3 linked regions of the Macaca mulatta genome follow. The protein of the gene in region 3 binds, or shares a complex with, the protein of the main gene of each other region. Links are inferred from orthologs where the notes say so. Each region holds a gene or a part of one and is shown on either strand. Other genes may lie near its edges.

Evidence for each region.
Region 1: WASHC5 (region 3) and WASHC3 share a complex: the UniProt entries of both Homo sapiens proteins name them as parts of the WASH core complex. The link is inferred for Macaca mulatta from reciprocal best matches to the Homo sapiens genes WASHC5 and WASHC3.
Region 2: WASHC5 (region 3) and WASHC1 share a complex: the UniProt entries of both Homo sapiens proteins name them as parts of the WASH core complex. The link is inferred for Macaca mulatta from reciprocal best matches to the Homo sapiens genes WASHC5 and WASHC1.

Annotation. Positions count from the first base shown.
Region 1 is NC_133416.1:109,346,732-109,354,375, forward strand, and holds part of WASHC3 (WASH complex subunit 3), read right to left. Parts: intron 6,978-7,644; coding exon 6,870-6,977; intron 2,747-6,869; coding exon 2,636-2,746; intron 1-2,635. UniProt on the Homo sapiens protein: Acts as a component of the WASH core complex that functions as a nucleation-promoting factor (NPF) at the surface of endosomes, where it recruits and activates the Arp2/3 complex to induce actin polymerization, playing a key role in the fission of tubules that serve as transport intermediates during endosome sorting.
Region 2 is NC_133416.1:785,070-792,713, forward strand, and holds the end of WASHC1 (WASH complex subunit 1), read right to left. Parts: intron 5,296-7,644; coding exon 5,184-5,295; intron 4,837-5,183; coding exon 4,690-4,836; intron 4,513-4,689; coding exon 4,376-4,512; intron 4,130-4,375; coding exon 3,994-4,129; intron 3,817-3,993; coding exon 3,615-3,816; intron 3,527-3,614; coding exon 3,362-3,526; intron 2,587-3,361; coding exon 2,428-2,586; intron 1,684-2,427; coding exon 1,615-1,683; intron 1,475-1,614; coding exon 1,341-1,474; 3' UTR 994-1,340; downstream 1-993. UniProt on the Homo sapiens protein: Acts as a component of the WASH core complex that functions as a nucleation-promoting factor (NPF) at the surface of endosomes, where it recruits and activates the Arp2/3 complex to induce actin polymerization, playing a key role in the fission of tubules that serve as transport intermediates during endosome sorting.
Region 3 is NC_133413.1:135,514,085-135,521,728, forward strand, and holds part of WASHC5 (WASH complex subunit 5), read right to left. Parts: intron 4,667-7,644; 5' UTR 4,544-4,666; coding exon 4,358-4,543; intron 3,904-4,357; coding exon 3,758-3,903; intron 3,113-3,757; coding exon 3,028-3,112; intron 2,403-3,027; coding exon 2,302-2,402; intron 1-2,301. UniProt on the Homo sapiens protein: Acts as a component of the WASH core complex that functions as a nucleation-promoting factor (NPF) at the surface of endosomes, where it recruits and activates the Arp2/3 complex to induce actin polymerization, playing a key role in the fission of tubules that serve as transport intermediates during endosome sorting.

The sequences.
Region 1 (7,644 bases), on a different chromosome or scaffold from region 3:
TTATAAGCATTTTCATTCACAGGACTATGTACAAGGTATTGTTGCAGGAATGAGGAATAGTGTAGTACACAAAAAAATTCCCTGTCCTTTTGGAGTTTATAATTTTGTAGGGAAGAGAGAGAGTAAATATATAAAATATGTAGAATGCTGGAAGTTGATAAGAAGAAAAATACAGCAGAGAAGGGGTAAAGGGAATTGGGTAAGAGGACACTGCAATTTAAAACAGGGTGGCCAAGGAAGGCTGTACTTAGAAGGTAATATTTTTGAATATAGATTTGAAGGAGGTGAGGGAGCAAACCATGAAGGTATCTGAGGAAAAGTGTTTCAGGCCAAGAGAACAGCTGAAGCAAAGGCCCCAAGACAGGGGCTGCCAATGTATTTTTATTCAAGGGACAAAAAGGAGGCCAGTAGAGCTAGAGAAGAGTGAGCGAGGATATGAGATCATAGGGGTAACAGAGGAGCTAAACTGTATAGGATTTCATGGGCCTGTGGAGGATCTTGGCTCTTATTCCTATGAGGTGATAAGACATATGATTAAAAAAGTAAATAATTAAAGGGTCATCTATTTGTTTTTTTTTTTTTAAGACAGAGTTTTACTCTTGTTGCCCAGGCTGGAGTACAATGGCATGATCTCGGCTCATCGCAACCTTCGCCTCCTGGGTTCAAGCTATTCTCCTGCCTCAGCCTCCCGAGTAGCTGGGATTACAGGCATGTGCCACCATGCCCAGCTAATTTTGTATTTTTAGTAGAGACAAGGTTTCTCCATGTTGGTCAGGTTGGTCTCAAACTCCCGACCTCAGGTGATCCGCCTGCCTTGGCCTCCCAAAGTGCTGGAATTACAGGAGTGAGCCACCGTGCCCAGCCCGGGTCATTTATTTTATATGTATATTTATGACTGAAAAGCAATCAAACTTGTTCATGTAATTAATAACAAAAATAAAAATTGCAAGTGGTATCTGGAAACCTTAGCTGGCTAAATAAATCTAGACAGTACCTAATACAGTAGCTTAGCTTAAATTAAGTATTTGATAAATATTTGTGAAATGAACAGATGGTGGATTTATAATGAAAAAGAAAAAGAGTTTTTGAAGTTCTTGTAAAATTGAAGGCAATATATCAAGAATTTAACAATTATCCTAAGATGCAGCCTTCATAAAATATTTCAGAGCATTTTTACGGAGTATCATCTAATAGATTTTCCTATTTCTTATTTTATATAGATTTGGCAAGAAGGGGCTAATATAAAAAATCTTTCAGTCATTCTGAAGCATCTCCCTTTTGTTTAGAAGAGTGAAACACAGTTTTTTTTTTTTTTTTTTTTTTTTTTTTTTAAACAAGTCTATCTTTTAAGCTTAGGCTTTCCTGGGTTCTAGTTTTAAAAATGTGTTCATCATGATTCATGCTTAAACTGGCTGTGTTTTATTCTTCTTAATTAAAAAACTTCATCTATTTTCACCCCGAAGTTTGGTTTATTTTTTTCTAAATTGACCGCCAATATCCTGAGCTCTAGGCGTCAGAAAAAAGGAACTGTGGAAGTGAAAAATCCACTTCTGATAGCTAGGAAAAGTGCAGCTTCCAAATGAGCCAATCTACTCTTTCTGGTTGTCAGAATTTGCTTTTAAATTACTAGGTGATAAACTATCCCATGGACAGCAAAACAAAACTGTCCTTTAGTATTAGTATTCTGCTTCTTTTGCTTGATAATAGAATTTTACAAAAGCATTATTATTATTATTATTTTTGAGACAGGGTCTCTCTCTGTCACCTACACTGAAGTACAGTGGCACAATCAGTCAGGTGAGCCAGTGCACCCTTGAACTCCTGGGCTCAAGCAATCCTCCCACCTCAGCCTCTTGAGTAGCTGGGACTACCAGGTGCATGCCATCATATGGAGTTTTTTTTTTTTAAATGTAGAGGTAGGGGGTCTTGCTTTGCTGCCCAGGCTGGTCTCAAACTCCTGTCTTCAAGTCATCCTCCCACCTCAGCCTCCCAAAGTGCTAGGATTACAGGTGTGTGTCACTGTGCCAGGCTTTAACTGTTTGATTAACAGAAAAATGATGGACAACTAACTCCTTCAACTATTGAAATAGTTTCTAAAGGAATAAAAAAATGTTAACTTCTGCTATTATAGACGACTGCAGATATTTTTGGTACCATACCATGTTATGATTTCTCAGGAAAAATATGAATTCTGAAGTCATATAATATCAAAAGCATTACCTTACATGGCCAAGAGATCATTGATAGATGAACATAAAAATTTTTAAAAATATTATTTGTGCTAATATATGGGAATTAAGCTAGAATCAACTGATTTACCAAATGAATAGTCTACTTTCATTACTTTTTGTATCTAAGATTTGCCTTGATAACTTTGTGTAATGCAAACAAATTTATATAAATCTATATTAAACTATGTTAATTTAAAGGGTGGGATCGATTCTAATTACAAAGATTTGACTTTTTTTTTTTTTTTTTTTTAAATCAGAGAGTTAAAATAGAAAGGAAGAGAATAGAAAACTTGGTTACTTGGTTTAGCAGTTTTCTCAAATTGAAAAAAATAACAGCAAAACCTCCAGGGTTAAGAATTTCAAATGAGGCTGCTACACAAAGAAGACAGACCAAATTAGCTTACCACTTGAACCATTTTGAGATATCTGGCATATCTTGGATCCTTGGCTACAGTTAAGATATTTTCTGCTGATACTTCACTTTCCTGTAGTCCAGAGTCTTGTGTACTGCTCTGCTGTAGAGAGTATTTTGTGTAAATCTTTAGACAATTTACAAAAGGGGTCCATCATGTTACTTAAAAGGAATGCTTCTTTCCATAATTCTAAGGCAATAAATTGCAGAAAAAAAAGCATCTCCCCCAATTTAAATACCAATAATTTAATGATGAGATATGTTTGCAAATATCTACAAATATTTAAATATCACTTCAGAGGAGGTTACACTTCAACACTATATTGGTTCCTTAAAACACAAGTATATTCATGCATTAAAATAAAAATTCTGTTTTACTTGTCCTCAGAGTGCTGATACAAAGCATGAATTATATATAGGTGGTTATACTATTTTAACAAAACTTTTAAGAAACCTAATAAAACTATCAACTGTTTATAAATTAATAATAAATTAACTGAGATAATGATGAATTGATTTCCTAGATATCTATAATCTACCTAATTGAGCCCTTTATTTAGTAAATCATTTTATTCTAAGTGGACATGGCTCTTCTAACTTTTTAGAAAGCAATTTTTGGAGAAGTTGTAGAAGAGAAGCCAGTTTGTCAGACAAAATTATCTGGTTTTATATATTTCAGCTACTGATGGAACTATTAATGGTAACATTGTCTACGGAGTGGTTAAAAGTCATAGTAAATACGACTTGTAATAAAGAATCTTGGGGAATGGTCTTTTTAGATAAAAATGCCATTGTTATACAGGCAGTCTTCACTTTGCATGGTACCATGTTACTGAAACTTGTGCATATCAGAACCATATCCTTGCTTAAATGCAAAACTAGAACTGCCTGTATACAGTACTTGATTTTTCTATCAAACCAAACATTTAGAAAAAGCTTACTTTTGTGAATCTCTCTCATTATCTGTATATAAGCATTAAGAAGAATTTCCTTAGAAGAAATCAATTTTATGTCTATTGTTCATGCTGAAATGTAGATAAATCCATATCTTTATATCTTCACAGTCTTTAGACTATGAATGTGAATTACATATTGAAGTTTTTCCTCAGATAATTCAAATATAAATTAAATCTGAAAATTCCAAAGCAAATAAAAACATCCAAAAGTCCTTTAGGTTTCTTCTGTTACATGATATTGCTAAGTTTTACAAAAGTCACTGTGTGTGTGTGTGTGTATATATATATGTGTGTGTGTGTATATATATTCATCTATAATATACATAAATACAAAAATTCCAAAACAGTTAATTAAATAAAAAATTAAAACAATAACCAAATATGTTTTTTAACAATTTATGGAAATTAAACTCATATATATAATAGCAAAATGGTGCAAATGAGAACTATATCCTGGCCAGATATCAACTCTCAGTCGTTAACGTTTGCGTAATAACCAAGACCTCAACAAGGTTTAATTATGAAACACCTTTGCTATCTGAATGATCCATTAAATCCTCTATCATATCTCTCAACTGTCCTTCATATATTCTCAAATCAAACTCACTCTGCACAATTGGATATTCTATTGTGAATAATGATGAAATCTGAACCATGAAATTAAAGTTGCAGAAAAATCAGTACACAAACTTTGGGTCTTTGACTCATGTATAGATTAGAGAGAGTGATAAATAGATGATTTTTTTAAAAAGTGCACTATTCCCCTTTATCTGTTAATTGAGTGAACTATAATGTCAATGAAAACTCTGGATTAAGCAATACTTAAGCCCACTTCAAAATATTTTGTATAAAATATACCAGTTGATAACAACGAAGAAATGAGAAGTTGATGTGAATATTAAGAACATGCTGAGCAGTTATTTTATTAAGCTAATCAACACACAACTTTATCACAGTATTTCAAACTTTGGAAGCCAAAAGAACTTCATAAACCCTCTAAATAAATACATAAACATTTTTAAATAAAATTGCCAGAGATATACCAGGTTATTCTGAATTTGCAAAGCAAATTAAGAAATTCAGCTGTGATTACTGGTAATCAATTTTTTGGGACATTAAATATGTGAGGACCAACACAACTGCATAAAAATTTTAAAGGGCATACTATAGATGGCATTCATAATAGCACCTGGAAAAATTAATAAAGTTAGACAGGTATACTTAAAAATATTATAGAAATATATGACTGCTCTATCCACCACATAATAACTACTAGATAGAGTGGAAATATTTTCTTGGTATGCTTTGTTTTAGAAAGAGGATAGTCATATTTAATTGAGAGAATATAAAGTTAAACTCCTCTATAACATCTGGATATCCTCTTGCATTTTATATATTTGAGTGGCCAGGATAATGAAATTTGCTATATTAAATAAATGGATGTTAAATTTTATAATATCTAATTAAGTAAATGATCATCTAATTTATTACCCAAATATATACTATATTCTAAATATATGGCTTTTCCTACAGGGCCTCATACCACATATCCTCAATATGTTTAATAAATTGAACACAGGTACTGAAAACAGAGTAGTGTAGTGTAGTATAGTGTAGTGTAGTGTAGCAGGTAAGTGCTAGGGCTCTTGGCACCAGACTGTCTGGGTTAAAATTCTAATTCTTACATTACTTTTCGACCTTCAGCAAGTTACTTAACCTCTATATACCTCATTTGACCCATCTATAAAGTAAGATTGATAATATGGTGCTTATATTATAGGGCTGTTGTAAAGATTAAATTCGTTTATGAAAGGCACTTAGAAACGTGCATGCCTTGGTACACAGAAAGCACTCTTGAAGTGTTAGCTGTTATCATCATTGTCAACATCATCGTGATCTAAAAAATATCCTGTGAAAAGTGCCTCCAGGTACAAAGGCAGAATTCCATTATAAGTCTATTTGTTTAATTTGTTTATTATTACTTTGGTAGGCCACCACTTTGATAATTATTTTGTTTTAGATTTTAATACCTCGCTGAGATACACTAGAGATTGTTCTCAAAAAACAAATAATTTTTATTTTTTGAAATAAAAAGTAATAGAAAATTGAAATTCATACAGAAGCATAAGTAAATGTTAAGATCTAAGAGCCAAATGTAAAGTATAGCTTTTATTAGGATGCTGATTCAAAGGAATCAACTTCAGAAACACAGTTTTTAGACAACTGGTATTTCTAAGATCAGTAGCTCTCAAATTTTAAGTGCCTACAGATCACCTAGGGGTCTTGTTAAAATGTAGATTCTCAGCAGTTTTGGGGTGGAGCCTGAGATGCTTCATTCTAACAAGCCGCCAGGTGATGCCCATGTGGGTTGGTCCATGGGGTGTACTTGAGTAACAAGGGGTTAGACAATACCAGCGAATGTTCATTTATTTTTATTTTTTTAATTTTTGAGGCAGGGTCTTGCGCTGTCACCTAGGCTGGAGTGCAGTAGTGCAATCTCAGTTCACCACAACCTCTGCCTCGTGAGCTCAAGTGATCCCCTCACCTCAGCCTCCTGAGTAGTTGAGACCACAGGTGCGTGCCACCACACCTGGCTAATTTTTGTATTTTTAGTGGAGACAGTTTTACCATGTTGCCCAGGCTAATCTCAAACTCCTGAGCTCAAGCAATCCACTTGCCTCAGCCTCCCAAAGTGCTGGGATTACAGGCATGAAAGACTGCACCTGGCCAATTATTGTTAATTACATTGTATATGATAAAGGCATTTATATAAGAAAAATGTTACAAAAGAACATGTCAAAACTTTTCAGAGATGCTCAAAAATTTATGCAGGGGTGAGATGATAAACTGTCTGGGATTAATTTCAGCAAGTGACCAAGAAAATAGATAAAGCAATTGTGACAAATCATAACTGGTGAATTCAGGTCTGTTTTTGTGTATATTTAAAAATTTTACAATAAAACATTTTAAAAGTACATTTCTTATAAGAACTTAGAAAAATTTCTAATTATGTTGAAGAAAATAATTATTTGAAGATTTTTCCTAGTCCTATATAGACTGATTTTCTTTTTTATAGGCAAAGAAAGTATTAACTTAAGGAAGCCCTTCAAAATAACACAGCTAATTTGTTTTTCCCAAACTTCATTTTCTATGTTAAGGTTTTAAAATTTTACTATTAGAAGTTTTACATTTTTATTTTTCTTCCTTCCAACCTGCTGCTTAAGACTATCAGTTTCAACCAAAAACATCTGCTCATTTCTTAGAACTCACCTGTGGTTGCTCTGAAGTGGCTTCAGGATGTGCTCCATTTGTGACACTGGTGACATTTAAAGGAGATACTTCAACTGTGACATCATCTAGGCCTGGGATAGATGACAACTGAAAAAAGATGAAAAGAAAATTGGTATTGAAATATGAAGATAGTACCTGCATAAACACTATAAGTTTCTAGGTTTGTATATTTTTAATAGCTGTCTTAAGTTTTAAGGCTATACAAATAGGTTCATAATATCTTGTCTTAAATTTTCCATGTCATAAACTAAAAGTGAAAGACAGTCACAAATTATTTTGAAGAACTTCTCAAAAATCTAATTTAGTTTATATAACCATTATTTTCAAAATATAGGCAATCCTAGTGTAATGACTGAGAGCTGGTCTTTGAAGTCAGACTGTCTAGGTTTAACTTTTAGCTCTACCACTCATAAGCTGTGTGATCTTGTGCAAATCTCCCTATGTCTCAATTATCTCACCTGTAGAGATAAGAAAATGTACCTAGAAAAGTTGTTGTAAAAATATTTCTATTAATAATACTTTGGGAAAAAAGGGCTTTGTGCAAATTTTGAGTTTCAATTATCTAGGATATGCCAAAGCTCTTGTCTTTACACTTTAATGTATGACACAGCTCATTCTTATTTCTTTCTTTGAACATTTACCACTGAACGTTATTAAAATACGTTTCTTGTATGCAAAAAAAATGGGCATATTGTTGGTATTTCAACCTGAAATGGTTTAGCATTTCAGGTTAGATCTGCAAGACCCATAAAAA
Region 2 (7,644 bases), on a different chromosome or scaffold from region 3:
CTGCCTTTTCCTTTCCCGAGAGCCTCCACCACCCCGAGATGGCATTTCTCACTGCCTTCTGTCTGCCCAGTTTCACCAGGAGAAGTCGGCCTCTTCCTGACAGGCAACTGCACCACTGCCTGGTGCTGCGCCGCCTTCGCTCTGCCCACTGGAGACAGTGTCTGTCATGGGCCTGGTCTGCAGGGATCGTGCTACAAAGGTGAAACCCAGGAGTGTGTGGAGTCCAGAGTGCTGCCAGGACCCAGACACAGCATTAGTGCCCACTGGAGAAAGCAAGTGGACCCCGAAGAAATGGTAGGTCTGGGCCATCCTTGAGGTCTTCCCAGGGCAGCTCCCCTCTGTGGAATCGAATCTATCTTCCATCCCACATGGCTGAGGGCCAGGCTTCTCACTGGCCTCTGCAGGAGGCTGCCTTTTCTGTCCTGCCCACCTTCTTAACCTTCTTAGAGGCGAGATGGAGCAGACGCATCTGCTTCTGCCATTTCTATGATAACTACAGTCAGCTGCCCTGGACTATTCACCCTCCAGTCTCAACTTAGAAAGATCCGCATGGCCACAGGGCTCCCGCCCGGGGTGCTTGTCACTTTCCCCACCTTCTTCCTGAGTCACTCCTGCAGCCCTGCTCCCTAACCTGCCCCACAGCCCTGCCTGGATTTGTATCTCCCTGGCTTGGTGCCAGTTCCTCCAAGTCGATGGCACCTCCCTCCCTCTCAACTACTTGAGCCAACTCCAAGACACCTTCTACTCCAACACCAGCAATGGTGCCAAGGGCCATTAGGCTCTCAGCATGACTATTTTTAGAGACCCCGTGTCTGTCACTGAAAGCTTTTTTCTGTGGGAGACTATTCCTCCCACCTGCAACAGCTGCCCCTGCTGACTGCACCTCTCTCCTCCCTCTGACCCCAGAGAAATGGGTCAGCTGGGATCTTCTGCCCCCATTGCCTAGGGACCAACAGGGGCAGGAGGAAAGTCACTGACCCCCAGACGTTTGCATCCTGCACAGCTAGAGGTCCTTTATTAAAAGCACGCTGTTGGTTTCTGCTCAGTTCCTTATTGATTTGTGTGCTGCTTTCTCTGGAAGCCTCCTTAGAGAAGAGAAGAACACAATGGTGCAGGCTGGGTGGAGCCGCCCCCCGTGGAGCACAGGAGGACAGAAGCCCCCGCCCCAGCCGTGTGGCCTCAGGCCAGCCTTCCGCTCCTTGCAGGTGGTCTCCGCACAGTGCTGGTTCCATCACCACCCGCTCCCAGGGAAGCAGGTCTCAGCGGGTTGTCCTGGCTGTATCCATGTCAGAGCAACAGCCCAAGTCTAGGTCTGGGGGAGGAAGGTGTCATGGAGCCCCCTAGGATTCCCAGTCATCCTCGTCCTCCTCTGCCTGTGGCTGCTGCGGTGGTGGCAGAGGAGGGATGGAGTCTGACACGCGGGCAAAGGCTCCTCCGGGCCCCTCACCAGCCCCGGGTCCTTTCCCAGAGATGCCTGGAGGGAAAAGGCTGAGTGAGGGTGGTTGGTGGGAAACCCTGGTTCCCCCATCCCCCGGAGACTTAAATACAGGAAGAAAAAGGCAGGAGAGAATTACAATGGGCCGGCCCAGGGTGGGCAGCGGCCCTGCCTCCTACCCTTGCGCCTCATGACCAGCTTGTTGAAGAGATCCGACATCAGGTCCCCACCTTGGCTCGTGGCTCTCACTGCAACGGGAAAGCCAGGGTGAAGAGTTCAGTCACAGGCGACCCGTGGCTCCCTGTCCCCACCCGTGACACTCCCCAGCCCTCCAAGGCCACCGTGCTTCCCAGTTAGCTTGGAGCCTCAGTCTATCCCTGACCCAGCACCAGGCACTGATGAGAGAGTGCTTATGTCTGAGAAGCACTCTCCCAGCCACCTCAGGGACAGGACCAGGGTGTGCAGCACTGACGGATGGGGAAACTGGCCCAGATAGGTGAGGCAGCTTGCCTGGGGTCACAGAGCAAGGCAAAAGCAGCGCTGGGTACAAGCTCAAAACCACAGTGCCCAGGGCGCTGCTGCCGTACACACAGGCATCGCATCACACCAGTGTCTGGGTTCGCAGCAGGCATCATCAGTAGCCTCAAGAGGCCTCAGGTCCAGTCTCTAAAAATATCTCAGGAGGCTGCAGGGGCTGACCATTGCCTCGGACCACTCAGCAGTCGAAGAAGATTCTCCTTGTCACAGTTTGAGCTGGGTGCGCTTACAGAGGAGAGCTCCACTATGGCTCCCAAACCAGGAAGGAGCCATGGCCCCGGCAGGAGGGCTGAGGACCTCTGTTGGCGGGCCAGGGCTTCCAGCCTGTGCCCTAGGGGAAGCAGGGGCTGGGGCTGGCAGGGGGTGGGCAGGAAACAGCCAGTGGACTCAAGGCTGGAGGAGAGGAGGCCATCTTGCCCAAGGCCCTCCGACCACAGGCTCCAGGGCCCGCTCACCTTGCTCCTGCTCCTTCTGCTTCTTCTTCTCCAGCTTTCGCTCCTTCACGCTGCGCAGTTTGGCCTTGCCGATGCCCCCGGCTTGGCGGATGGACTCCAGCAGAGTGGCCCGGCCACCAGAGGGGTCGACCACTTCCTTGGGAGCTCCCTGGACTGGAGCTGGGAGGTGGGGAACGGGGCAAGGAGAAAAGGCTGCTCAGGCAGGCCTGGGGAAGCTTATTGTGCCAAGAGCCTGCTGGGAGGAAGGCACCTCCCCTCAAACGAGGAGCCCGTGTTGGGGAGGCTGGACCTTTGGAGACTGTGTAGCCCCGTGTTGGGGAGGCTGGACCTTTGGAGACTGTGTAGCCCCGTGTTGGGGAGGCTGGACCTTTGGAGACTGTGTAGCCCCGTGTTGGGGAGGCTGGACCTTTGGAGACTGTGTAGCCCCGTGTTGGGGAGGCTGGACCTTTGGAGACTGTGTAGGGCCTGAGCACAGGCATCCTGTGTGAGACACTCCCTGCTCCCTCCCCAGCCCCCACCCTGCAGAGCTGGACAGTCTCAGCGGCACACATGAGCCAGCAGAGGGGCTTTGTGCCACTTCTGGATGCTAGGGATAGACTGGGAGATAGAACAGTAAAGCTGAAATGTTGTAATTTCAGTGACACTGAAAAATGTGTTGCTGTAGTTTGTTATTAGACCCCTTCTTTCCATTGGTTTAATTAGGAATGGGGAACCCAGAGCCTCACTTGTTCAGGCTCCCTGCGCACTAGAGGTGAGAATTCCAGAGCTCTACAGCTTGAAAACTACTATTTTATGGACCAAGTAGAACAAGATATTTGAAATGGGAACTATTCAAAAAATCGAGGATTTCTGACCACTGAACAAACCTGCAGAAAATCCACCTGAGTGCACAGAGCACACCAGAAATGAGGTGCCCTCAAAGAGCTGCTCCCACCTGAAGGAGACGCGCTGCTGCTGTTGTCCTGCCTGGCGCCTTGGCCTACAGGGGCCGCGGTTGAGGGTGGGAGTGGGGGTGCACTGGCCAGCACCTCAGGAGCTGGGGGAGGTGGTGGGGGCGGTGGAGGTGGTGGGGGTGCTGTTAGTACCCCATCTTGTAGGTCTGAAACACAAAGTGTGGGGTGTCTAGGGAAGAAGGTATGTGAGCAGGGAGGTCCCTAGCCCAGCCCTCATCCCAGAGCCCAGCTCACCTGTCTTGAGAGGCTCAGCTACCTCAGTGTGGAAGGTGGGCAGTTCTGGAATGGTGCCAGGGGCAGAGGGGGCAATGCCGGGGCCCAGGTCGGCACTGTACATGAGGTCGTTGGCAATGCCGGGCAGGTCAGGCAGGTAGGATGGCACATCAATCTCAGGCACCTGGCCCAGGTCTGGCACATAGAAGTAGTTCTCTGGGACCTGCAAGATTAGGTAGGGACATGTGAGTGGTGACAGGGACCTGCAGGGGCAGCCAACAAGACCTTGTGTGCACCCCCCATGGGTGGAATAAGGGGCTCAACAGCCTTGCCTGGAGAGGAGCCCTGGCAGGGCCCCTGGCCACTGCACCTGTCCCCACCCCTGCCCCGCCCCTCCCACCTGCTGTTCCAGCTGCTCTCTCTTGCTGATGGACAAGGGGGCATCAAACAGCTTCTCCTCTGTCTCCGCCCCCAGCATCACATGGGTCTTTGTTACAGCACCAGCCAGGGGGTCCAGGAAGACATACTTCTTGTACCTACAGGGGTGACATGGGGGTCAGGCAAGCTGACACCTGCTGTCCTGAGCCCATGTTCCTGACCTACCTCTCCACATCATCAGGGGCACAGTGTGCACTGTGGGGTCCCAGGCCTCCCAAGCCAAGCCACCCCAGTCACCCCTGGCTCCTGGCCTATGTGCTGTACCTGTGTCTGATGCCCTGGGTCCCCACTAAGCCAGGCTGGGCCTCCCGCCCACACCCCTCGGCCCTGCCTTCTGGCCATACAGGTTCTCGGTGGTGTTGAAGAGCAGCAAGGAGCTGACAGAGCTGATGTTGCTGGGAAGACCCCCAAGTCCCTCTTCGGCGTCGTCCTCAGGCTCCAGCTTGGCGCTCACACACACAGGAAAGTACTTCAGCTTCTCCTGGGAGGGCCAGGATGGCCAAGGGATGGTGAATATTTACTGCTGGGCCTAATCAGCTGCCACCCCATCCCAGTCAGCCTCCTCCGGGGGACAGAACCCTACAGTGGCCCCGGCTCCTCCCCAGTATCCAGTCCTCCTGGTGTGACCCGGGCTATGTTATGTGTGTGGCCAGCAGACCTGCAGGGCTCGCTCATCCAGGGGGCGGTGCTTGCTCTGGATCCTGTGGCGGGGGCGTCTCTGCGGGCCAGGGTCCTGGGCGCCTGTGAAGATGGAGCCATATTCCTGCAGGCGCTCTGGAGCAGGGTACTTGGCACTGGAGAACACCTGTGGACACAGGGACAAGTCAGGGGCCCCAAGAGGCTCAGGGGGCTAGGATTGCCTGGCAGGAGAGGGTGGGGTTGGGGGCTAGGATTGCCTGGCAGGAGAGGATGGGGTTGGGGGCTAGGATTGCCTGGCAGGAGAGGGTGGGGTTGGGGGCTAGGATTGCCTGGCAGGAGAGGGTGGGGTTGGGGGCTAGGATTGCCTGGCAGGAGAGGGTGGGGTTGGGGGCCTGGGCAGGAGGAAAGTCCAAGGTACAGGTGGACAGCGAGGCAGAGACTGGGCAGCCTCAGAGGTACGGGGAAATGGAGGGACTGCCCAGTAGCCTTAGGACACAGGGGCATGGGGGCTACCTTGATGGCCTTCTTGCTGCCCTTGATCTTCTCAATCTTGGCCTGGGCCAAGGAGACCTTCTCTCCAATGGCCTGCACCTGGCTCCGGCTCTGCTCTACCCGCTGGGAGATCCTGCCACGGAGAAGATCACAGAGGCTGGGGCTGCTCCCCACCCCCTGCACACCTCCTGCTCCTAACAGCAGGCCTGCCAGGCCAGGCCTTCAGGCAAGGGCTCCTAAGTCACGGTCACCTGCTTGCCAGGGCCCATCTTGGTACCATCCATGTGGCCTCTACAAGGATAATCTGACCTGCAGGGTCGAGGAGCTGACGGTACTGAGTTCCCCGCACTCTCAGCAGGGACAGACCCTATGCTGGCACCTGTACATGCTATCTGAAGGACAGCCTCCAGGGCACACAGAGGATGGTATTTACACATGCACACATGGCTACTGATGGGGCAAGCATTTCACAACCCCTCATGATCACGTGAAGCAGACAAAGTGGCCTCTGCAGAGGGGGAATCGAGACCGGAGGCTGGACTGGCAAGGCTGGACCTAAATTCAGACAGGGAACTGCCCCTGCACAGTGAATGGCTCACTGAGCAAACCCTGAGTCCCGACCACGGCCCACGGGCTCTGTGTGGTGTAGCTCCTCACCCGCTCCCATCCTCCCTGGTGCGGGTGGGCCAGTGATACCAGCTGCCCTGCTGTCCCCCAGATGTACCAAGTGCATTCCTGTGCGCTTGCATCTCATGGAGCGCCATTTCCCCAGACATCCCTGTGGCTGGCTCCCGGTGCCCGAGGCCCGGATGCCTGATGCTTTGAGGCACACAACCCCACTCATGCTTTTCCATGTTCTTTGGCCACAGCAAGGCCGCTCTCACTGCAAAGTTAACTCTGATGTGTATGTAACACAACATCCTCCTCCCAGTTGCCCCTGTAGCTCCGCTACCTCCAAAAACCCAGCCCTTGCCCACAAGGGCCACACTCCACATTCAGAGCAGCCTCAGCATCCACCTGGCACGCACGAGCCTGTGTGATGCACAGGAATGAGAAGGCAGAGGCGCAACTGGGGTTCATGAGGAAAGGTAGGAGGAGGATGTGGGGTGGTAGAGGGGTTGCAGACTCTGGGCTAGGGAATGCTGGGATTTCTCTAAAGGTTGGAATGAATGGCCTAGAATTAGACCCTAAAAGCCAAAGCCACCTCCACCAACTTTAGAAGGCCTTGGCCCCCAGAGAGCCAATTTCACAATCCAGGAGTCCCCGTACCCTAATGAGTCTGCCCTGATTACTCCTGGCTCCTCGTGTGCAGGGCGCTGAGGCATGGCAGGGCTGGGAATACCAGCAAGCACCCGAGCAACTTAAGTGTTCCATGACAGACTGGTATGAAGGCGGCCACAACTCAGAAAGAAAAAACAAGAGCACCATCTCCTTCCAGTGAGAAAGTGGGGCCCCACCCAGCGTGTGCTCCATCTTTTCTGGCTGGGGAGAGGCCTTCATCTGCTGTTAAGGGTCCTCCAGCACAAGCTGTTTTAATTTACCCTAGTTCCCAAGGCAGCCTCGTTCTGCCCCGGGTGTTGACACGACCTTCAGAAGTTGCATAAGCTCTGCACTCGAGATCCACAGGGGCAGTGGGAGGGAACTGAGACTGGGGAGGGACAAAGGCTGCTCTGTCCTGGTGCTCCCACAGAGGAGAGAAGGGCTGATCACTCAAAGGTGCAAACACCAAGCCCAACAATGAGCCCTGAAAAAATTTCTGCAATGGATTATTAAACAGAGAATCTGTAAGCACTTAGAAAAGGCAGCGGTGAGTCCCAGGGGCCAGCACGGCTGGAAATGCACAGCGTTTCTCTCTGTAACAGGGTTATGAGCCTGCTGCACCCGGGGAAAACTTGCAGCACAGTACATCCTGAGTCAGCACGGATTTTGACGGCTTCTAACAAAATCTTGTAGACAAGATGGAGCTATGGGGGTTAGAGGAGAGAACATACAGGAAAAATCAGAGCCAAATGAACCATGGCCCCAAAGGGCACAGTTGAACAATGGACTGATTCCAGCCTTGCACGGAGGGACCTGGCAGAGTCCATCCAGTTCATTCAACACCCGGTTAGAAAACTGGGGCCAGCACATAGGGGAAGGGTACACTGGTCTGCATGATCGAATCAAGGCTCAGATAATTTTTAAAGGCCAGAGGGTAGACTGCAATCACCAAGACGAAATTTACAAGGAACAAATGTGAAGCCCAACATCTAGGTTTTAAAAAGTGCATAAATATAGAAGGTGGAGGGAACTTGGTTTAGACACAGTTCAGGTGAAGAAAGACCTGGAAGCTTCTGTTAACTGTAAGCTCAGTAGGAGCTACAAGCATGTTAATTAGCATAAAAAGGCAATGCGATCTTAGGGCACACAGCTCCCCGTCCCTCTTCCGCCCTTCATCCTTCTTTGAATCAGCAGGGACCGTGCACTCTCTTAGAGGCACCAC
Region 3 (7,644 bases):
TGGGGTTTCACCATGTTGGCCAGGACTGGTCTTGAATGTCTGACCTCAACTGATCTGCCCACCTCAGCCTCCCAAAGTGCTGGGATTACAGGTGTGAGCCACCATGTCTGGCCTTGAAATTATATTTTTGAAAGCCTGCTTAGAAGATAGGTATTCGTTCTATGTAAAGGTCCATAATCCCTTTTCCAAAATCCTTGGGACTGGATTTGTTTCAGAATATAGCATTTCTCAAATATAAGAAAGCAATATGGCATATAGATCATATACAATATAACACTCCAGCAGTGTCTGAATTGGCATCCCATGATCAACATAAGTGAATAATTCCGGATGAAAATTTATAAATATTTACAAAACTGAGTTAAGTGAAGACTACACATAGCCTCACACCTATTCCAGGCAAGTTTTGACTCCAAACGATTTCAGGTTAGATCAGGTTTTGCTGCCAAATGAATTACTATGTATATGTACATGTGTGCTGTGTGTGTACTCGTGTATACATATTTTTTCAGAGCTCTTTGGATTTGAAAATTGTGGGTAAAGAATGTGAACCTGACATTTTACAAATTAAAAAATAATTTTAAAATATTATGTCAATTTAAAGTGAAATCTATACTTTTTTCTTGGCAAGCTGTTCCTTCTACAGAGATCTAATAAACAGGTCTGTGATTTTTCTGGGTGGAATAGTAAGCTCTGAAAGAAATGAACTAGATTCAAAGAATCTTAGACTTGGAGATGACCTGCTATTCGCTGTAAGGATCTCTTTTGCCACGACTGTGACTTGGAGGTGTTCAGTGTCACTTCAATAATGAATGCTCACATTCTAATGAATTAGCTGTTGTACCAAAGGGGACAAAGCCATATTTTCAAAACTGGGCTTGATAAGCCAATAATTTTTTCTTCTTCTTTGCACTGTCTATAGTTTTTGTTTTTCCAGGTACTCTCAGAAACATAGGAAAGGCCATTTAAATCTCATTTTTAAAAACATGGATGTTAAAACAGCTTGGTCAAACTGACATGAATGAACACTGCTAGAACGCTCCCTTCGCACTCTGATGCAGCTGAAAGGAAAAGGCTAGTTGAGAAGCCTAAGATTAATTTCCTGCTGAGGACACAGTGGTACCTGGTATTGCCGAAAATATAATGTCCCCAAAGAACCCCCTTCTCCTTGTCTATTTTGTCCTAATTTTTAAGTTTGAAAATGTTAATTCTACTCCTTACATCTTTAGCTCAAGCTCCTAACTGACTCCTCCTTATTGACACTTTCTTCTCTGCATCTTGACTATTTCCAACATTGACCTGGTATTCCATTTTTAGCTCATTCAACAAATTGAAAACCTGTGTGTTAGACACTAAAATTAAAAAGTTGGTTAAGATGGCTCCTGTTTTCAAGACCTTACTTTCCGAAGAATCACAGTTCCGTATAGAGATACACGACAAATGATTTGTGGATATGTGCTATTGCTTGATTTGTTTTTGTTTCTATGTAAATATGGGAAAGAATTCACTTTCAACCTGACTCTGAATGACAACTTTTCTAAGTCATCAAACTGCAAATGACAACAGAAAGCACACTCCTTTCTTTATATCTGCCAAGGAGTAATATTTGAAAATGTAAACAACAAAAGCAAAAACAACCTTCATTAGATTTCTAATATTCTTTGAAATTTAGCCTCAAGGTAAAGAAAGTTCACAATTCAGACTCCTTTTTAAAATTGGAGTTATCATTACGGACAGCATAATCCATACCTCTAATAATCTATAATACATAGAATATTTTATATGTAATATATAGATTATATAATCTATAATCTATTATGAAATATACTATGGCGTAATTGTTATAGTCCTACAACATGCTCACAAGAGATAAGAATCTTATATATTTTTTTTTTTGAGACATAGTCTCGCTCTGTCACCTAGGATGGAGTACAGTAGCGTGATCCTGGCTCACTGCAACCTCCACCTCCCGGGTTCAGGCGATTCTCCTGCCTCAGCCTCCTGAGTACCTGGGATTACAGGTGCCCACCATCACGACTGGCTAATTTTTGTAGTTTTAGTAGAGACACGGTTTCACCATGTTGGCCAGACTGGTCTTGAACTCCTGACCTCAGATGATCTACTGGCCCTGGCCTCCCAAAAGTGTTGAGATTACAGGCGTGAGCCACCGTGCCTGGATGAATCGTATACTTTCTTATGTATTCTTGGATTACTGCTGTTTACAGTAGAAGAAATATGGGGACATACACCGCATTTTACTAACAGCAGTGTTTTGGAAGTGGAGTCCTAGCCCAGGAATACCTGTATCGGTAGTAAGAAACCAGCATCCTCTCTCTGACTTCTCCTTCAATCTTTTGGTCAATGACCAGTAGCATAACTCCATATAAGTACAGTGCTTCACACTAAGAAGAGAAGAGGACAAAAGCCAAAATCACTAGATTATACATTCTTAGGGAATAAAGTCGGTAATCATGAAAAATATCGCTTTGCTCACACTTCTCCAAAAAGTTTTAGATTTCAAGGAAAACGTAGGTCTCCTCCAAAGAGCTCTTACCTTCTTGCAGAATGGGACTTGAAAAGTTTATGTGAAATAGATATTAATTCATAGTGATAATCTTTCAGTTGACCTATTTTGGCTATTTTGCTTGGGACACCAAAATAGCAACCTACTCATCATAAAGTCATTCACTTCACCATAAAGTCATTCACTTATTCAATAAGCATTTCTTAAATGGTCAGTATGTACTAGGTACCAGGACAGATGGCTGGGATGCAAAAAGTAAAGAAGACAGAATTCTTACACCGAGGAGGCTCATAACTTCCACATAACTTTTCATTGTTTTAAATTCTGTTCAAAGTCTACGTTCTAAACTCAGATATGGACCTGCCAGTTAGAAGATAATTAAAAGCTCATTTTGCTTCTCTTTAAAGAATGGTATTTCATTTATATTTATGACTTAGAAGAAAAAAAAGGGATACTATGTTTGAAATTCTTGAATTTCATTTTAAATAATCACTATTACTTACCAGAAGTTGTTTTCCATCTTCGTTGAGAAGCACAGTTTCTAAGGTTTGCTGAATATAAACCCCTTCATTGAGATCATCTAAATATCTAGAAATAAAATCCCAGAGCGAGTTATTAATTTATAATAGAAACTTTAACATCTTTAAAGGAGGAAAGATTTTTAAAAGATAAGGCAAGATGCCAGGCATTCTGGCCTTCCACTAGTTCATGGTCCTTCACGCTCTTAAGAATACAGTCTTATAAACTGATTTAAGGCCACAGTTTGATATTTATGGCTGTTCCAAGTAAAAGAAATATTCCCTAGTCCTGATTTGTGAATTACAAGTATCTAGGAGTAAAGGCAGAAGAACATGGAATATCTAGTTTAAAAGTTAATGAGTAATGAATTCTTAAGAACTGTATAAGAGACAGAAAGTTAATGATAAAAATAAGTTCTTTTTCCCACTTTTCACATATAATACACTAGAATATGATAATAAATAACAGGATTGGAAACTATATGACTTAGTATAAACTAAGTTTATTATGACACCTCACAAAAGCAGGACATTATAGTAAAACTTTAAAATTCTTAAGATGACCAGTGCCACAGGAAGGAAGAGACAACTTTATACGGCATACACTAAATTAGGAAATTTTATAGTAACTCAGAGAGATTTACACGTTGTTGTGTGTCCTTTTCCCTCTCCACTATTTACCACCAGAATAAGCTGTTACTAAATTGATCAATACCTGTTTAAGTCTACAATATATTTATGCACACTTTGAAATGCTAAATAAAATCTGGTCACAATTTCTATGTTGTTTTCACGAAATTCTTCATCTAAATCCTGTAGCTCTGGCTTACAGTCCAGTTTGCTTTCCCATAATTCCGGACCCTAAGAAAAAAAAACACACATGAAATGTCAATAAAAGCATACTTGTTGGTGACAATTTCCAAATAGTCTTTTAAAAACTTGTTCTTATGTTCTTAAACATCCTAAACTTAAAGCGGAGCAACAGAAAGTAATGAAGATAATAGAAGCCTAGATGTAAAATCCCTTTGAGATAAATGAATTTGAATTGGACCCAAGATTAGCATGCTTTTAAGTATGGGGCCCTTCAATGTGAAATGTCAAAGTTACGTTTTAAAAATACAATTATATTGTGTTAGGGCTCTCACATAATACCTTCAACTTATTTTCAAGTTAGTAGCTAACATTACGTTTAGTCCAGAAGCTTTTCTCTTTAGCTTTTTCCATAACTACTTAACCTTACAGAGTTTCACGGTTCCCAGAGAAAACACGTTTTTGTAGAAAAGACAACAAATAAAAAAGCATTGAGGAAGATTACCTTAAAATAGCTGAAATCAAATATGATATCTCCATATTTCTGTTGATCAGCTCTGTCTTTTAACCTGAACACAGCAGGAATAAACTCAGAGAGCCTCAAAAGTTCAGCAATGATGGCATTACCACAGGAAACAATCCTTAGGATTGCTTGGCCACAGAGGTTGTTCTCGGCTAGAAAGTCCAACATTGTGAGGAGGACCGACTATTCTGTGCGTGGACACTGGGGATGATTAACCGGCCTTAGAGCTGGTGTCTGTAGATTATTAGATGAAACCAGGTGTGCAGAGAGATTGGCTGCTCCATAAAGAACCTGTATCCCCCAAAAAAGTGTGAAAATCTCAGTTTGTTTAAGGAAGCACATGTGTACACATAAGAAACACATTTTTCTCCCAAACTCACTAAAAAAATTGTAAGAAATAATGAGTTCCTTTATAGGGGAAAGGGTATTTATCTGCCACTCTCCATATTTTCCATGTGGAGGGGCTTTGGTAGATTAACACTCTTCGCCTCTTCTTCAACATGTTAGTCACTTCTCTTGGGAAAAAGATATGATACAGCTCATCTCTGAGCTAGGGAGAAGGAACCACTGGGCATGTGTGGTTCCAATGTACCCTAATTATACAAGCTATCTTCTACTACTCAATATATTAGCAAATAATTTCAAATACTATAAAGAGAGCTCAGAGACAAATCCCTGTACATCATTTTGAGGCATTTGTCCAATTATTTCCCAGAAATGGAACTGCAAGCTTAAGCTATGAACATGTCCAAGATTCCTTTTAAAATTACAGATGCTAAGTTCTACAAAATTCTGTGAAGATAATTTATAAATACTAAATCAAACTGGTCCAAAAGTCTCACAAAATTCAGTACTTAGGTGTCTAGTACTGTTAGCAGAATCCATTACTTGTTTCTCTTGTATTCCAATGTACTCTCTGAGCATGGTTAGATCACTTAGCATACTGAATATTATTGTTGCTTACAGCTCATTCTGAAAGTTCTTGAAGGCAAGGATTGATCTTTACCCAACCACTCCTTGCTGAATATCTCTTTGCCAGGCTGGATATGAAGACGTTTAGACCACTCACCTTCTAGTCCAGTGGTTCTCAAGCCTGGCTGCATAAGGGAATCACCTAGCATTTTAAGAGTCTGGTAAGTAGGTTAGAGGTAGTCCTAAGTATCTCTGTTTTTAAGAATCTCCCCAGATGATTCTGATGTGAAGCCAGGATCATTAAAATAGTAGAGAATGACTGGTCTTGTGGAAAACTGCAGCAAGTAAACAGGAAATTAACAATATCTATCTTTGTGCCCTTTGTGCTGAACTCATTCCTTGGCATTGACAAGTAAAAGGAGTGCCTGAATAACAATACTAGGGGCCGGGCGCGGTGGCTCAAGCCTGTAATTCCAGCACTTTGGGAGGCCGAGACGGGTGGATCACGAGGTCAGGAGATCGAGACCATCCTGGCTAACCGGGTGAAACCCCGTCTCTACTAAAAAATACAAAAAACTAGCCAGGCGAGGTGGTGGGCGCCTATAGTCCCAGCTACTCAGGAGGCTGAGGCAGGAGAATGGCATAAACCCGGGAGGCAGAGCTTGCAGTGAGCCGAGATCTGGCCACTGCACTCAGCCTGGGCGACAGAGCGAGACTCCGTCTCAAAAAAAAAAAAAAAAAAATACTAGGATTGCAAGAGGAGTGATGTCTGTCCTCTCTAGCTGCCTGCTATACTGTTGGAGAGAGAAGCCCTGAAGAAAAAAAATATCAGAGAGATGAAGGGCTTGAGTGTGTCATTACAATAAAGAAATAAGAAGTGTAACATACATTTAATTGTCAGTATGGAGCATTTACTAGGTGTTCTGTTGGGACAGGTATTCTTATAGTGGGTGATCTTTAGTAAAGTGACATCTAGGAATTCAGGGCTAGAGAAAGAAACCTAGCATCTAAAAGGAATGACCTATTTTAGTATGTAACACTTAAAAACTTTTCTATGGTAAATGACTTAGAAGATGGATTTGAAATCCAAACGGCAGACACAGGGTTGATTTCTAAAACATGCAAAGGGATCTCACAAGCTGTCAAAGAGAGAACAGGGAGAGAAGGGGAGGCGGGAGCCAAGTAAAAAGGAAAATGGAAAAAAAGATGTCACCAGGAATGAAAACCAACCAATCAACAAAACATACATGTGACGTTTTCCTGTACACATAAAAGTCTTTGAGCATGTCACTACCCAGGCTGTGCCTTCTAAGCATCTTCTTTAACACACAGACTCTTGATAAAACTGCTTCCTGACCCGTCCCTTTCCTTCCCACTAGCTTCCTCCTACAGCCAGTGCAGAGAGCAGGGGTGAGCAGATGGTGGAAGGCGAAGGGCGACTGGAGAAGGAAGCAAGACTTACACAAATGAAATAACTCCTCGGACTTGATGAGGTTTCAGAAAGTTCTTGAAGTAGGTAATTTGTCTTATTAGGCTACTACTTCTTACATTCCCCCTCTGCCCACAGACTTGAGTACCCTTCTTGTTCAGGTCTGTGTGCCTTACCCTGCAACAATCATTTTTCTTAGTTCTAGGGGCTAGGAAAGCAATTTGATTATAATAATGCGGTAACTGGTTTCCAAAGATGGCTCCCAACAATTCCTTGCCATTAAGTCAGCACATACATACCTTAAGTGAAGGGCTGAACCTTATTTTCCCTCTCAATGAGTCTGGATTGCGTTTGTTTATTAGTTTGCTGGGCTGCCATAACAAAGCACCACAGACAGGGTGACTTAACCAAATTTATTTTGTCACAATTCTGGAGGCAAGAAATTCAAGATCAAAGTGATGGTAGGACTGTTTTCTTCTCAGGCTTTTCTCATTGGCTTGTAGTAGGCTATTTTCTTCCTGTATCGTCACATGGCCTCCCCATTGTTCATTTCTTTTTATAGAGATGGGGGTCTCACTATGTTGCCCAGGGGAGTCTCAAATTCCTGGGCTCAAGCGATCCTCCCATCTCAGCCTCCCAAAGTGCTGGGATTACAGGCATGAGCTACCAAGCCTGGCCCTCCTTTGTAAATTTCTGTGTCCAAAGTTCCTCTTCTTAAAATGTATGCATCCAAAGTTCCTCTTCTTAGAAAGACACTAGTCATATTGGATTGGAGCCCATCCTAGTGGCTTCATTCTAACTTAATCACCTCCTTAAAAATCCTGTCTCCAAATACAGTCACATTCTGAGGTACTGAGTGTTAGGAATTCAACATAGAAATTTTGGAGGGACTCAACTCAGCTCATAACAGTTTATGTCTTCCTTCCTT